Anolis sagrei: one gene and its partner. The protein of the gene in region 1 purifies or fractionates together with the protein of each later gene. This does not show direct contact. Links are inferred from orthologs where the notes say so. Each region holds a gene or a part of one and is shown in the gene's direction. Other genes may lie near its edges. The genes, in order: TGOLN2 and GALNT2.

Region 1 (7,468 bases):
TGTTGAAATGCTTTCCAGTGCCATTCATGCAGCATTTGCAAACTGTCGTTGCTACTCCCCTTTACAGTTTCACTTTTCTGTAAATCCCTGACTATTGGTCTTGCCGGCTGAGACTTCTGGCAGCCCCAGAAGTCGAAAATAAAACATTGTTGTGACATTTATAAAATAAATAAATGCTTATTCAGAGATGATGATGTTGTCGCAACTCAGGATAGATTCACCTTGCTCAGAACAACACCACACACCAAGGCTGTAGGTTTTGTAGTTTATTGAAGAAAAACAAAATCATAAATGTAGAAATAAGGTTGCAAAAGTTCAATAGCCAAAACAGAGTCTCAACTGCAAAGGCAGAGTTTCCAAGGTCCAAAGGCAAATAGCATGAAGTATTATCCACAAGTACTGGTCAAACAAGAATCCATGGCAGCACGAATCGTAATGTAAATATCTGATGTGCAGGATGTATTTTCATTAATTGGACCAAATTTGGCATTAATACCTGATACGCCCAAATCTGAACACTGATGGTTTGGGGGGGGGGGGGGATTGATTTTGTCATTTGGGAGTTGTAGTTGCTGGGATTCATAATTAACCTACAATCAAAGAGCATTCTGAACTCCACCAGCGATAGAATTGAACCAAACTTGGCACACAAAACTCCCACGACCAGCAGAAAATAGATCTGGACCAAACTTGGCACGAATACTCAATATGTCCAAAAGTGAACACTGGTGGTAACTGGGGAGAATAGACGGCATTTTAGAGTTGTAATTGCTGGGATTTATAGTTCGCCTACAATCAAAGAGCATTCTGAACTTCACCAGCAATGGAATTGAACCAAACTTGGCACACAGAACTCCCATGACCAACAGAAAAAATTTGAAGGGTTTGGTGAGTGTTGGCCTTGAGTTTTGGAGTTGTAGTCCACCTACATTCAGAGAGCACAGTAGACTCAAACAATGATTAATCTGGACAAAACTTGGCACAAATACTCAATATGCCCAAATGTGAACACTGATGGAGCTTGGGGAAAATTTACCTTGACATTTGGGAGTTGTAGTTGCTGGGATTTATAGTTCACCTACAATCAAAGAGCATTCTGAACCCCACCAACGATAGAATTGGGCCAAACTTCCCATGCAGAACCCCCATAGCTTGAAGAGACTTGCTGGCGTGAGCCTCCCTCCAGCCCTGCACGCTCTCCCTCGGCCACACATACACAACACACTGCCACGTGCTGAGCACACCTACTCTCCTCTCCCTGCTTGGAGTCTCAAAAACAACCTTCTCCTTGGATGAGAGGTCGGCCAATCACAGCAGAGGAGTGCGGATTTGACCTCTGTTTCCAAAAAGGAAGAGGACAGGTGGAGAGATCTTCAGACTATCAATATGTTTTCTGTTGGTCTTTGGCGACCCCCCCCCCCCCCCCCGAAACCCTCTTGCAACCCCACGGGTCCTGACCCCCAGGTTGAGAAACACTGCCATAGAATGTCAAAACAGTCCAGTAGAAGAAGGTGACAGCAACCTCATACTGAACCAATCTTGCCAAGAAAACCCAATGATATGTTGGTTTTAAGGTCATCATCAATTGGAAATTATTTAGAGACACATAACAATAACAATGGTAGCGAACTAAGCTATTCCTCTTCTTTGGGCAAGGCTGGGGATAGAACAGATTGAACGAGGGGAATCCACCTCAATGAGATCACAAAAACCGACAATTTCCAAGCCATCAATTAATTTGTAAGAAGGATTTCATCCACGATTTTCATGATCTCAGAAGAAAAAAAATATGACGGAGACCACAAGATGGTGCTATGTGATAATTGTTTAGCTGAGTCTATTTCTAGAGACTTAAGGAGCTGACTTTTACAAACTTGGCAGACCTTACATGGCTGTCTGGAACAAGAGAGTTTTGCAGGCCGCCCAATTCACAGACATGCGAGGCGTTGTATTTCTCCTCCTTCACGCACAACAATCTTCCACTAGGGCTGATGTGCCTGGCCACAGACACCTGTAGTAGGTCTGGTAATATGTGTATCACCACCTGTCAATAATCTGTTTATGAAATTGCGACATTCTTGTCTCTTATTATACCTTCTCAGTACATTGCAAGGTGTGTTTTTGTAGTGATGTGTGCATGTTACCGTATATACCTGGCATTACTAAGGTATTGTTACACTACTGTCATGCCTTCTTTCTCACCCCTTCGCCCCCCCCCTTTTTTTATTTCCTTCTCTTTCTCCCTTCTCCAGCTCTTGAGAGGGCCTACCTCACAAGATCTCCATGGCAATGTGTCCCTCTTTATGGCTCTTTCCCCCATTCACTTTGTATGCCTCACAATTCTTTCCAAGTGACATTGCTGAGGGCCACTTCACCTACCGATAGCAAGGTCAGTGACATCGCAGAAGGCCAATTCACCTAGTAATAGCCAGGCCAGTGACACTGCAGATGGACACTTCACCTAGCAACAGCAAGGCCAGTGGTACCCCCGAGGGCCACTTCACCTAGCAACAGCCAGATCAATGACACTGCAGAGAGCCATTTCACCTAGCGACAGCCAGGCCACTTCACCTAGCAACAGCCAGACCAGTGACCTCGCAGAGGGCCACCTATCAACAGCCAGATCAATGACACTGCAGAGGGCCACTTCACCTAGTGATACCAGGCCAGTGACAATGCAGAGGGCCACTTCACCTAGCAACAGCAAGGCTAGTGGTACCCCAGAGGGCCACTTCACCGAGCAACAGCCAGATCAATGGCACTGCAGAGGGCCACTTCACCTAGCGACAGACAGGCCAGTGACACCAGAGGACCACTTCATCTAGCAACAGCAAGGCTAGCACCACCACAAAGGGCCACTTCACCTAGCAACAGCCAGACCAGTGACACCGCAGAAGGCCACCTAGTAACAGCCAGATAAATGACACTGCAGAGGGCTACTTCACCTAGCGACAGCCAGACCAGTGACACCGCAGAAGGCCACCTAGTAACAGCCAGATAAATGACACTGCAGAGGGCTACTTCACCTAGCGACAGCCAGACCAGTGACACCGCAGAAGGCCACCTAGCAACAACCAGGCCAGTGGCATCGGAGAAAGCCACTTCACCTAGCAACAGCTAAACCAGTGACACCGCAGAGGGCCACTTCACCTAGCAACGGGTTTTCAACTCTAATATATTACTTCAAGCAGAGTATCCTAGACAGTTGTGAAGAAAATGGATTCGTCGCTGAGCCTGGAGCCCCAGGTCTCGGCGGTGACCAGGGGAGCCTTTGCACAGCTAAGGCTCGTGCGCCAGCTGCGCCCGTACCTTGGGAAGTCTGACTTGGCCACAGTAGTCCACACTCTGGTTACATCCCGTTTAGACTACTGCAATGCTCTCTACGTGGAGGTGCCTTTGAAGACGGCCCGGAAGCTTCAATTAGTCCAACGTGCGGCAGCCATGTTACTAACAGGGGCGGGACGTAGGGAGCATAAAACCCCCTTGTTGTACCAGCTCCACTGGCTGCCAATTTGCTACCGGGCCCAATTCAAGGTGCTGGCGTTGGCCTATAAAGCCTTAAACAGTTCTGGCCCAAGATACCTATCCGACCGCATCTCGACCTATGAGCCCACCAGGACTTTGAGATCTTCCAGGGAGGCCCTGCTCTCGATCCCGCCTGCTTCACAAGCATGGCTGGCGGGGACGAGAGATAGGGCCTTCTCGGTGGTGGTCCCTCGGCTGTGGAACACCCTTCCCATGGACATCAGACAGGCTCCTTCCCTGTTGATATTCCACAGAAAATTAAAAACCTGGTTGTTCAAGAAGACGTTCGAACAAGAAGTGCAATGATTGGTAATGACTATAGGAATGGAATAACGGAAAATGATATTGGATTGTGGTTTAGACAATGAGACGATGCTGAATGGTTTCGTAGTAATGACAATGTTTTGTATAATGCTTTTTGTATGTTTTTTGCATAATGGTTTGAGAATTGTTTTTATACTGTGTTTTGTATTTTGTTCTTCCCATGTTGTACACCGCTGTGAGTCACCCTTGGGCTGAGAACAGCGGTATAGAAGCAAAGTAAATAAATAAATAAATAAAATGTGCTATTATCCTTGTGGCTTTATAGAATTTTAATATGAATTTCATTGGCCTTTAGAAGATGCACCCTCTCTCTCTATATATATAGCCATGAAGGAACCTGATGAGATGCTCAAGTGAAGAATCAAAGCATGTTACAGCACTCTAGTTCATTCGTAGCTCTAGGGCGCCTCATCGACGAAGCCCCGCCCCCTTCTCCTTCCCTCCCTTTCTGTGACAGGGCGCCTCCTATTCTCGCGAGAGTGGAGACCAGAGCTCGGGGAGTCTCCCTCGGCGGATGTGACGTGAACGGACTTCCTTTTCCCGTGTGGAGGTGTTGCGGGAAGCGGAAAAGAGTCTGGGCTTGGCCGGCATGGCGAGCGCGCGGCGGTGCCTCCTTCTGCTCTTCCTCCTCTTCCAAGTGGCCGCCTTCGGTGCCTCGGCGCCGCTGGAGCCCGGCGGAGGAGAAGCAGCAGCAGGAGGAGGAGGAGGAACAGGCGGCGGCGCGGAGGAAGCAGAGGCGGAGGAGGCCGCAAAGGAGGGCCCAGGTCAGAGCGCGAGGAGGTGGCTCTCGGGCCATGTTTCCCCCATGTTTCCCTGCCCTTCCCCTTTCGCTTCTCATCTCATCTCTAATTACTTATTAATCGCCCTCCATCCGAGATGCTCCAGGCGATTTACACTGCAGGAATTACACAGGATAAAACGCATACATACAAATATTAAAATTAACATGAGTCAAATGCTCCAGTAAAAAGCCAGGTCTTAAGCGCCAGGACAAAACGCCCCAAGTCGCGCATGGCTCGGAAATAGGGCGGCAAGGAATTCCACAAGGCAGGGGCAGAAATAGAGAAGGCCCATCTGCGTCTGGTGCTTTCCAAGCGCACTTCTCTAGGACCCGGTATATTGAGCAGATCGCGTTGGGATGGTCGTGGCGACCTCCGATGATGGTAGAAGGAGAGGCGGTCTCTAAGATACAATGGATCCTGGCCAAATAAAGTTTTAAAGGTCAGGACCAGCATCTTATACAAACCACGATGCTCAATTGGGAGCCAGTGTAGATGCCGCAGCACTGGTGTTATATGGCATTTCATGGGCGTTTTTGTGAGTAACCTGGCTGCAGCATTCTGAACAATACGGAGCTTTCGGGTCGTAGAAATAGGAAAGCCAACATACAAGGCGTTACAATAGTCTAGCCTAGATGTGACCGTGGCATGGATGACTGTTGCCAGAGCCTCATCCGACAGGTAAGGTGCCAGTTGCCTCGCTTGTCGTAGATGGAAAAAGGCCTGTTTGCTGGCAGCAGCAACCTGAGCCTCCATCGTCAGCTGCAAATTCAAAATGACACCTAGGCTCTTAACAGTAGGCAATGGAGATAGAGCAGCATCATCAAAGGCTTCTGTTCATTTCTGTGGCTGATGAGTCCACCATGAAAGTTCATCTCATATTTATTAATATACTACGGTAGTGTGTGTGTGTGTGTTATCTATCTATATAAATAAAAATTTAATGTTCGTTTGTGGGATTAACATAACTCAAAAACCACTGGGGGAATTGACACGAAATTTGGACACAATACACGTAACAGTCCAACAAGTGTCCATCATCCCTAAAACACACACAAACCCAGCGGAACAGACTTAAAAATCCAAAAAATACACCATATATACATATACAAATACACTCATATACATATACACATGCACTCATACACATGTGTGTGTGTGTGTATATACACATGCACACATACAGATATACATGCATATACATATACACATAAACACACACATATTCATATAGACAAGAACACACATATACAAAATATGCATGTCCACATATAAACAAACAAATACACAAATATATGCACATACATATACACATGCACACAGATATACATATATACATAAACACAGAAATATTCATATAGACAAGAACTCACATATACACATTATGCATGTACACATATAAACAAACAAATACACTAATATATGCGCACACACATATACAAAATATGCATGTACACATATAAACAAACAAATACACAAATATATGCACATATACATATACACAAATATTCATATAGACAAGAACACACATATACACAATATGCATGTACACATATAAACAAATACACAAATATATGCACACACACATATACATATACACATATATGCACACACACACATATATATATACAAACATCTATACACCCACACACACATATATATGGAAACACACATATAAACACAAATAGATACGAGTTGTAGTTTACCTACTACCACAGAGCACTGTGGACTCAAACAATGATGTATCTGGGCCAAACTTAGCACAAATATTCCAAATGCCCAAATATGAACACAGATGGAGTTTGGGGGAAATTGACGTTTCCATTTGGGAGTTGTAGTTACTGGGATTTATAGTTCACCTACGATCAAAGAGCATTCTGAACCCCACGAATGATAGAATTGGGGCAAACTTCCCACACAGAACCCCCATGACCAACAGAAAATACTTAAGGCCATCCAGTCCAACTCCTTTCACCAGAGCAAGAAAACATAATCAAAGCCCTCCTGACAAAGAGCCATCCAGCCATAAATATAGATAGATATGATTCACACACACACATATATACATATATGACAGATAATAGTATCATAGATTTGAAAGAGACCCCTGAAGAAGGACAGTTATATGTTGTATATTCCCTAGTAGGCAAACCAGACAATCTCTACATCAACACTAACAAAGAAACAACAAGAAATACTGTTTACTCACAAGTATCAAGACATTACATATATTAGAAACCAACACTTTCTCATTACTTTATTTTCCAGATCACCAGACTGGGCCACAGCAACGCATGGCAGGGAATGCCTAGTCTATATAAATAAAACTGTAATGTTCGTCTGTGGGATTAACATAACTCAAGAACCACTGGACAAATTGCTACCAAAATCAAAAAGCATTCTGAACCCCAGGAATGATAGAATTGGGAGCAAACATCCCACACAGAACCGCTATGACCAATAGAAAAGGCGATCCAGTCCAACTCCCTTCACCAGGGCACGAAAATATAATCAAATACTGTATACCCACAAGCATAAAGAAATTACATATATTAGAAACCAACACTTTCTCATTACGGTACTTTATTTTCCAAATCACCAGACTGGGCCACAGCAATGCATGGCAGGGGATGGCTATATACATATATATATACACACATACCTGGCACTGCCCGGGTGACATTGAGGCCGCTGTTTACCTACTTTCTCCCTTCTCCAGCTCTGAGAGGGCCAAGGTCGTCTCCATAGCAACGAGGGTCTCTCAGTGGCTCTATTCTTCTTTCCTCCCTCATAAACGCGAAGGGCCACTTCACCTAGCAACAGGCAATGTGGTATAATCC
Region 2 (7,990 bases), on another chromosome or scaffold:
TACACAAGCTTGGTTCAATACTGCAATGGGACAAGGCAGCAAGGCACACCTCAAGGCCATAGATGGCTGGATTTCTTCTTTGGTCGCCACAGCTCTCTTTCAAGAAGAGAGAATGATCAGAAGTCTCTTCCATTTGCTGAATGGTGGGACCAGGTTTTCAACTCACAGAAGCTAGGGCTATATTAACAAAACTTTGGGAAAAGACATCAATGCAAATAGAGTGGGCTATGAAAACCTAAGATTCCATAGAAATGGACAAATTACTAATTTTGTTTGAAGAGAAGACTGCAGAAATATTTAAGGAAAATTGAGTTTAGTGACTGAACTTCCTGACTGTGAGAGCTGTTCAGAAGGGGAACTCTCTGCCCCGGAGTGTGGTGGCGACTCCTTCTTTGGAGGCTTTTAAACAGAAGCTGGATGGCCATCTGTTGGGGTTGCTTTGAAAGCAATTTTCCTGCTTCTTGGCAGGGGTTTGGATTGGATGGCCATGAGGTCTCTTCCAACTCTATGATTCTATTAAAATGAGGGCAGAAATAACTCCAGTTTTTTAAAAGACACATACAATTAAATTATATGACCAATTTGGTATTAGAATTCTATATAAAGATTTTAATTTTATTATAAATTAAGATATTTTAATTTTATAATAAATAAGGTAGAATCAGTAATGGAACAACAATTGGGGCCTGGAAAACTGGAAAACAAGGATATCAGGAGGAGAGGCTGACTACCCACAAAAGGTTACTACTACCACATCAGCTCTAGATTATTAAATAGGGTTTTCTGTGGGTGAGCAGATAGGGACTACTAGACAGCATATGCTCTGTATCAGAAACTAGAGCTGATGTGGTCTATCCAATGCAATTTTCTGAATCAGCATCCCAAATAACCAAACTGAATGAAAAGTTGATCAAAAACTCCAAAATGTTGGAGTGTAGTCCCTGGTCAAAGTGGTCCCTGTTCAAGTCGTGTCTGGTAAAAAAAGAAAAGAAAAGATTAGATAGGGAGAGAGGGGGAGTGAATATATATAGTGTGGAATGGATATGTGTTGTTAGTTTATTTTTTGGAGTGCAAGACAGGAGTGGATTAAAACATGAAAAAGGACCAAGTCTATTGTTTATTTCAGAATTATTAAACTGCATTAAATGTGGATGCTGAGTTACCTTAAACATGACAACAAAATTAAGGAGCCATTTTGTAAAATATTATCCAAGAGAAGGAAGAAATGTTCTCCAGACTCCATGGAGCTCAGCAAACTGGGAAGGCAATGGGGTTATTTTGCACAGGTATGGTGAAAATGCCAGCATTATGTGAACTTGGGTTTGTTGAATTAAACATCTTCAGTTGGAGAGTCCTTGGGAGATTTTGTTGGGCTAAGGCTGGATAAAGTCAAAACAGGTTGGGAACCACTGATCTAGTTGAACATAGATGTAGGGAAAGGTGGGGTTTGTTTATATTGTTGTGTGTGTCATTATTGTTGTTATTATTTTATAATTTTTGGGTAAATGTGTATACTTGGTAGTTTAAAATTGATATGTAAGTTAATTAAAAAACCAGAAACACGGGGCAATGACATAATAATAATAATAATAATTTTATTTATTACCTGCTTCTCTTGATGGTTTGAGGCAGGGTACAGTACAACAAAGTCAAAAACATATGAACATATAATATGTACAATAAATACTTCGATTAAAACACAAAAATATTTTTAAAAACTTGCATCAAACACAGATACAGAATTGACATAAAGTAGCAACAAAATGCAAATCAAATAACTAGCCTACATATGCCTATTGAGGTTTGTAGACCAAACTTGGCCAGCTAGTTTTACTTTTATTATACAGTCTTTTTATACCCACAGATTTGCAGAGAAGTGTATATGGGAAAATCATGCCAGAAAACTTTTAAGAAATCATACTACACACCATTTTCATGATGTTAATTCACTGCCAAAGCTTTGAAAAATTCCACCTGTCCAACCAAGTTTGGAAAGCCAGTGTGGTCATTTGAGCATGCTGGTTGCTAGATTGTGCAAATTGTAATTATTATTTTTTTTAAAACCAGAACATTTTCTAAGCTTTACTCGCTGTTTTGGAGGGAAGAGCTATTATTTATTTATGGTGTAAGGCAGTGGTTCTCAATCTGTGGGTCCCCAGGTGTTTTGGCCTACAACTCCTAGGGAAGTTCCAACTTCCATAGGGAAGCTGATGAGGAAACACAACATACAAACAATCTACAAACCCACCAAGAAAATCCAACAAATGCTACGTTCAGCAAAGGACAAGAGGGATCCTCTCACCTCTGCAGGAGTCTACCGTATACCATGCAGCTGTGGACAAGTCTACATAGGGACCACCAAACGCAGCGCCCAGACACGCATCAAGGAACATGAAAGGCACTGCAGACTCCTTCAACCAGAGAAGTCAGCCATAGCAGAGCACCTGATGAACCAGCCTGGACACAGCATATTATTTGAGAACACAGAAATGCTGGACCACACCAACAACCACCATGTCAGACTACACAGAGAAGCCATTGAAATCCACAAGCATGTGGACAATTTCAACAGAAAGGAAGAGACCATGAAAATGAACAAAATCTGGCTACCAGTATTAAAAAACTCTAAAATTATAACAGCTAAACAACAGAGAGGAAAAAACCAGGCACAGATTAACACCTCCCAGCAACAGATTTTCCCAGGCTCAGGCAGGCCTTCAAATGCTAATGAAGGTGATCAGCTAAACATTCACACCTAACTGCAGCAGGGAAGAGCTCCTTGCCCCACCCCAGCCATTCCACAGATATATAAACCCATTTTTCCTACTTCCAACAGACCTCACAACCTCTGAGGATGCTTGCCATAGATGCAGGCGAAACGTCAGGAGAAATGCCTCTAGAACATGGCTCTATAGCCCGAAAAAACCCACAAGAACCTAACTCCTAGAAATCCCAGCCAGTTTACCAGCTGTTAGGATTTCTGGGAGTTGAAGGCCAAAACATCTGGGGACCCATAGGTTGAGAACCACTGGCGTAAGGGAAGGAATCCCTGTTGCTTTTGCAGTGTGTGAAGTTGTTGTTGTTCATTCGTTTCTGACTTCGTGACTTCATGGACCACGCTAGAGCTCCCTGTCAGCCGTCACCACCCCCAGCTCCTTCAAGGTCAATCCAGTCACTTCAAGGATACCATCCATCCATCTTGCCCTTGGTCACTCCCTCTTCCTTTTCCCCAGCATAATTGTCTTTTCTAAGCTTTCCTTTCTTCTCATGATGTGGCCACAGTACTTCATCTCGGCCTCTAGTATTCTTCCCTCCAACGAGAAGTCAGGCTTTATTTCTTGAAGTATGGACTGGTTGGATCTTCTCGCTGTCCAAGACACTCTCAGAACTTTCCTCTAGCACCACAGTTCAAAAGCATCTTCCTTCACTCAGCCTTCCCTATGGTCCAGCTCTCACATCCGTAGGTGACTGTGTGTGAGGTATGTGTGTGAGGTAGGTAACACTATATCACACTAGAGAAAAAATCCACTTCAAATCCAGTTTCTACCTCCTGCAGAATTCTGGCGTTTGTAGTTTAGAGAGGAGCCTTTAACAGCATTATTTTATTATTATTATTATTTGCATTTGTTAACCGCCACTCTCAGCCCGAAGGCGACTCATAGAATCATAGAATCAAAGAGTTGGAAGAGACCTCATGGGCCATCCAGTCCAACTATAATATCTTCTCTCAGCCAAGAAGGAGGAACATTGCATTCAAAGCACCCGACAGATGGCCATCCAGCCTCCCTTTAAACGCCTGGAAAGAAGGAGCCTCCGCCACACTCCGGGGCAGAGAGTTCCACTGCTGAACAGCTCTCACAGTCAGGAAGTTCTTCCTCATGTTCAGATGGAATCTCCTCTCTTGTAGTTTGAAGCCATTGTTCCGCATCCTAGTCTCCAAGGAAGCAGAAAACAAGCTTGCTCCCTCCTCCCTGTGGCTTCCTCTCACATATTTATACATGGCTATAATATCTTTTCTCAGCCTTCTCTTCTGCAGGCAAAACATGCCCAGCTCCTTAAACTATTAAACTACAAACCCCAGAATTCTGCAGGAGGTAGAAACTGGATTTTAAGTTGATTTTTTCTCTAGTGTGATGAGGGCAGAAGTGAGATGTTTGATAATAACTATGCTTAAATAAGTTACTGCAAAATCAAATGTTTGTTATTATTATTATTATTATTATTATTATTTCCTATTTTATCACCACTCCACTTGCTGACTGAGGTATGTAAAAGTCTTTTGAAATCCACTCTAATAATGAAATACATCAAAAAACAAAACTCTACAGGACTAGAGCTGCCGAAAGTGCAGCCTGAACGCCAGCTCTTCCTCCTCCAGTGAGACATACCTTTCCCACGCCTGGCATGAAGAAAGGAGAGGCCTTCCAACCTCCCGCTCCACACGCCTTTACTTCGAGGCAAGTCCCTTCTGCGGAGCTTCTCCCCGGGGGAAGGCCAGGCTCGTACGGGAACGACATCTCATGTCCCGCGGAGAGGGTTCTATGGGACGGGAAGCCTGGGAAGGTAGGCCCCTGAGGCTGGAAGTCCCCTGAGGCTGGAAGGCAGGGCGCCGGCCTCGGCTGCCACCCGGGCTCCCAGCTCTCGGAAGAGGCCTAGCTGTGGTTGAAGCGGCGCTAAAGGACCGAGAGGCATGAAAGGAAGAGGGACCCCAGGAGGCCCCGCGTGCTGCAACCATGGCGACGGCGCGGCTGAGCTCCGCCCCGCGCGGCGCTTGGCGGCCGGCGATTGGCCAGAGGGTGGGCGCGCGCCCTCTGCCCCTTGACCCTTGTGCGGCGGCGGCGGAGGGGGAGGAGGAAGGCGGGCAGGAGGGCGGGCGGTGGAGGCGGCAGCGGCATCGCCTGCCGCCCCTTTCCTGCTGGCCTGGCGGCGGCTGGTGCCGCGGCTGCAGCACTGGGCGGGCGGGAGGATGCGGCGCAAGTCTCGGCTGCTGCTCTGCTTCGCCTTCCTCTGGGTGCTCGGCATCGCCTACTACATGTACTCCGGGGGCAGCGCCGCCCTCGCCGGCGGAGGAAGGAAGGTGAGGAGCAGGAGGGGGGGGGGGGCGCGGCTTCCCTTCGCCCTCAGCCGGGGAGAAGCCTCGCTGGACCTTCTCCTCACGGCTCCCCCGTTTGCCTGCCTGCCTGCCTTCCTTCCTGCCGAGGCTCCTTCTTTTCCCTCAGGCTCCTCGCCCATTCCTCTCCCTCTCCCTCCTTCGCCTTTCTCCTGTCATGGAGGACTCCCTTCCCTTTCCTCTCTTCCTTCCTTCCTTCCTCTCTCTCTTCTTTCCTTCCTTCCTCGGCTTCCTCAGTCTCCTCGCTGCTGCTTCTTCCATTTCCTCTTTCCATCCTGCCTCCTTCCTTTTTTCCTTCCTTCCTTCCTGCCAAGGCTCTTTCAAGTACCTCAGGCTCCTCGCCTCTTTCGCCTTTCATGGAGGATTTCCTTCCCTTTCCTCCTTTTCCTCTCTTATTTCTTTTCTCCTTCCATGCTGCCTCCTTCCTTCCGTCCTTTCCCCCCTTCCTTCCTGCCGAGGCTCTCAGGCTCCTTGCCTCTTCCTCTTTCGCCTTTCATGGAGGATTTCCTTCCCTTTTCTTCTTTCCTTCCTCTCTTCCTTGGCTTCCTCAGTCTCCTCGCTGCTTCCTCTTCCCTTCCTTCCATGCTGCCTCCTTCCTTCCTTCCTTCCTTCCTTTTTGCATTCCTTCCTTCCGAGGCTCTTTCGTTTACCTCAGGCTCCTCGCTCCTTCCTCTTTCTCCTTCCATGGAAGACTCCCTTTCCTCACTTCCTTCCTTGGCTCCTTCAGGCTCCCCGCTGCTTCCTTTTCTCTTTCCTTCTTCTATGTTGCCTCCTTCCTTCCTGTTATCCTTCCTTTCGAGGCTCTTTCGTTTACCTCAGGCTCCTCACCCCTTCCTTCCTCAGTTCCTTCAGTCTGCTGGCTGCTTCCTTTGCCCTTTCCTCCCTCCATGCTGCCTCCCTTCTTCCTTCCGGCTTTCCTTCCTTCCTGCCGAGGCTCTTTCCTTTACCTCAGACTCCTCACTCCTTCGCCTTTCTCCTTCCATGGATGACTCCCTTTCCTCCTTTTCCTCTCTTCCTTGGTTCCTTCAGTCTCCTTGCTGCTTCCTCTTCCCTTTCCTCCCTCCATGCTGCCTCTTCCTACCTTCGTAGGCTCTTTCCTTAAGTCAGACTCACTCCTTTCGCCTTTCTCCTTCCATGGAGGACTCCCTTCCCTTTCCTCCTTTCCCTCTCTTCCTCCCTCCCTCTCTTCCTCGGTTCCTTCAGTCTCCTCGCTGCTTCCTCTTCCCTTTTCCCTTTCCTCCCTCCATGCTGCCTCTCCCTCCCATCCTCCTTTCCTTCCTGCCGAGGCTCTTTCCTTAAGTCAGATTCACTCCTTTCTCCTTCCATGGAGGACTCCCTTCCCTTTCCCTCTCTTCCTTCCTTCCTCGGTTCCTTCAGTCTCCTCGCTGCTTCCTCTTCCCTTTCCTCCTTCCATGCTGTCTCCCCCCCCCCCTTCCTTCCTGTCGGAGGCGTGAGGGGATGTCCTCTTTGGGGAAACTGGGGCGCCTCGTGACTGCTTCTTCTTCGGTGGGAACAGGGTCCCCGTGAATGTGTATGCGTGTGTATTGAGGAAATGGGCGCCACGAGGAGCTCCTTCCCGGCTGAAACCCAGCCAGGCTGTTGCGCCTTCTTCGCCTTGGGCGAACCAGGTCTTCCTCTCTCCCTCCCTCCCTCGCGGGGAGGAAGTGCTGCGTACTGCTTCCATGTTTGAAATACCCGAAAGGAGGTCTCTGTGAGGAAGGGGCCGGCTTGTGCTCTGCTGCCTCTGGATCACTCCTGGGCAAACTTGGGCCCTCCCTCCAGGCGTTTTGGACTTCAGCTCCCACCATTCCTAACAGCCTCAGGCCCCTTCCTTTCTCTCCTCAGCCGCTTAAGGGAGGGCCCAAGTTTGCTCATGCCTGCTCTGGACAATGTGGAGGAGTTAAAAGGCAGGGAAACATATTTTACCTAACCCTTTGGAAGAACTTCCTCGTGTGATAGAAGCTCCGTAGTGTGATAGAAGCTCCTCCTCTAGAGGTTTTTTTTTTTTAAGCCGGATGACCCTCTCTTCAGAGAGCTTTCATTGTGTGGCAGAATGGGGTTGGACTGGTTGGCCCAGGTAGTCTCTTCTATGACTTGCCAAGATTTATGATTCCTTGTCGAAGGCTTTCATGGCTGGAATCACTGGGTTGCTGGGAGTTTTCCAGGTTTGATGGCCATGTTCCAGAAGCATTCTCTCCTGATGTTTTGCCCACATCTATGGCAGGCATCCTCAGAGGTGGAGGGGTCTTTTAGAAACTAGGCAAGTGTGGTTTACATATCTGTAGAATGTCCAGCGTGGAGAAAAGAATTCTTGTCTTTTTGAGGCAGGTGTGAATGTTGCAAAAAGTAGGGGAACTCCAGACAAGAATCAATGAGGGCCAGCTAACATCTCCCAACAAAGGATTCCCCAGGCAGCAACCAGCCAGGCTTTGAAACTGCAAGGCCATTAAATGCTAATCAAGATGGCCAAATTGCAACATTCACACCTGCCTCAATCAGACCAGAGTTTTTCCCCCCACCCTGGACATTTTACAGATATATAAACCCCACTTGCCTAGTTTCCAACAGATCCCTCAACCTTTGAGAATGCCTGGCATAGATGTCGATGAAATGCCAGGAGAGAATGCTTCCGGAACATGGCTATACAGTCCGGAAAACTCACAGAAACCCATCATTAGAGTTCTCCTTCCCTTCGAAGCATGGTGCCAAGGTTCATATCTTGCCATATTCTGTGCTCACCTCCTCCTTAGGTGTTCCTTACTCCATCCCTGCATGTAGGAATGGGGTTGGTCTGGATGACCCTTCGGGTGTCTTTCAACCTCACACGTCTATTATGTCTTGCCAAGACTCCTATGGTTAGCTTTCCCCCTCCCTTCAAGT

Evidence for each region.
Region 2: the proteins of TGOLN2 (region 1) and GALNT2 purify together in Homo sapiens (affinity purification with mass spectrometry; 3 studies listed by BioGRID and IntAct, counting the BioPlex papers as one, with this or other methods). This does not show direct contact. The link is inferred for Anolis sagrei from reciprocal best matches to the Homo sapiens genes TGOLN2 and GALNT2.

The regions. Positions count from the first base shown.
Region 1 is NC_090027.1:16,335,659-16,343,126, forward strand, and holds the start of TGOLN2 (trans-Golgi network integral membrane protein 2), read left to right. Parts: upstream 1-4,366; 5' UTR 4,367-4,438; coding exon 4,439-4,613; intron 4,614-7,468. UniProt on the Homo sapiens protein: May be involved in regulating membrane traffic to and from trans-Golgi network.
Region 2 is NC_090021.1:61,525,659-61,533,648, forward strand, and holds the start of GALNT2 (polypeptide N-acetylgalactosaminyltransferase 2), read left to right. Parts: upstream 1-4,877; 5' UTR 4,878-4,966; coding exon 4,967-5,077; intron 5,078-7,990. UniProt on the Homo sapiens protein: Catalyzes the initial reaction in O-linked oligosaccharide biosynthesis, the transfer of an N-acetyl-D-galactosamine residue to a serine or threonine residue on the protein receptor.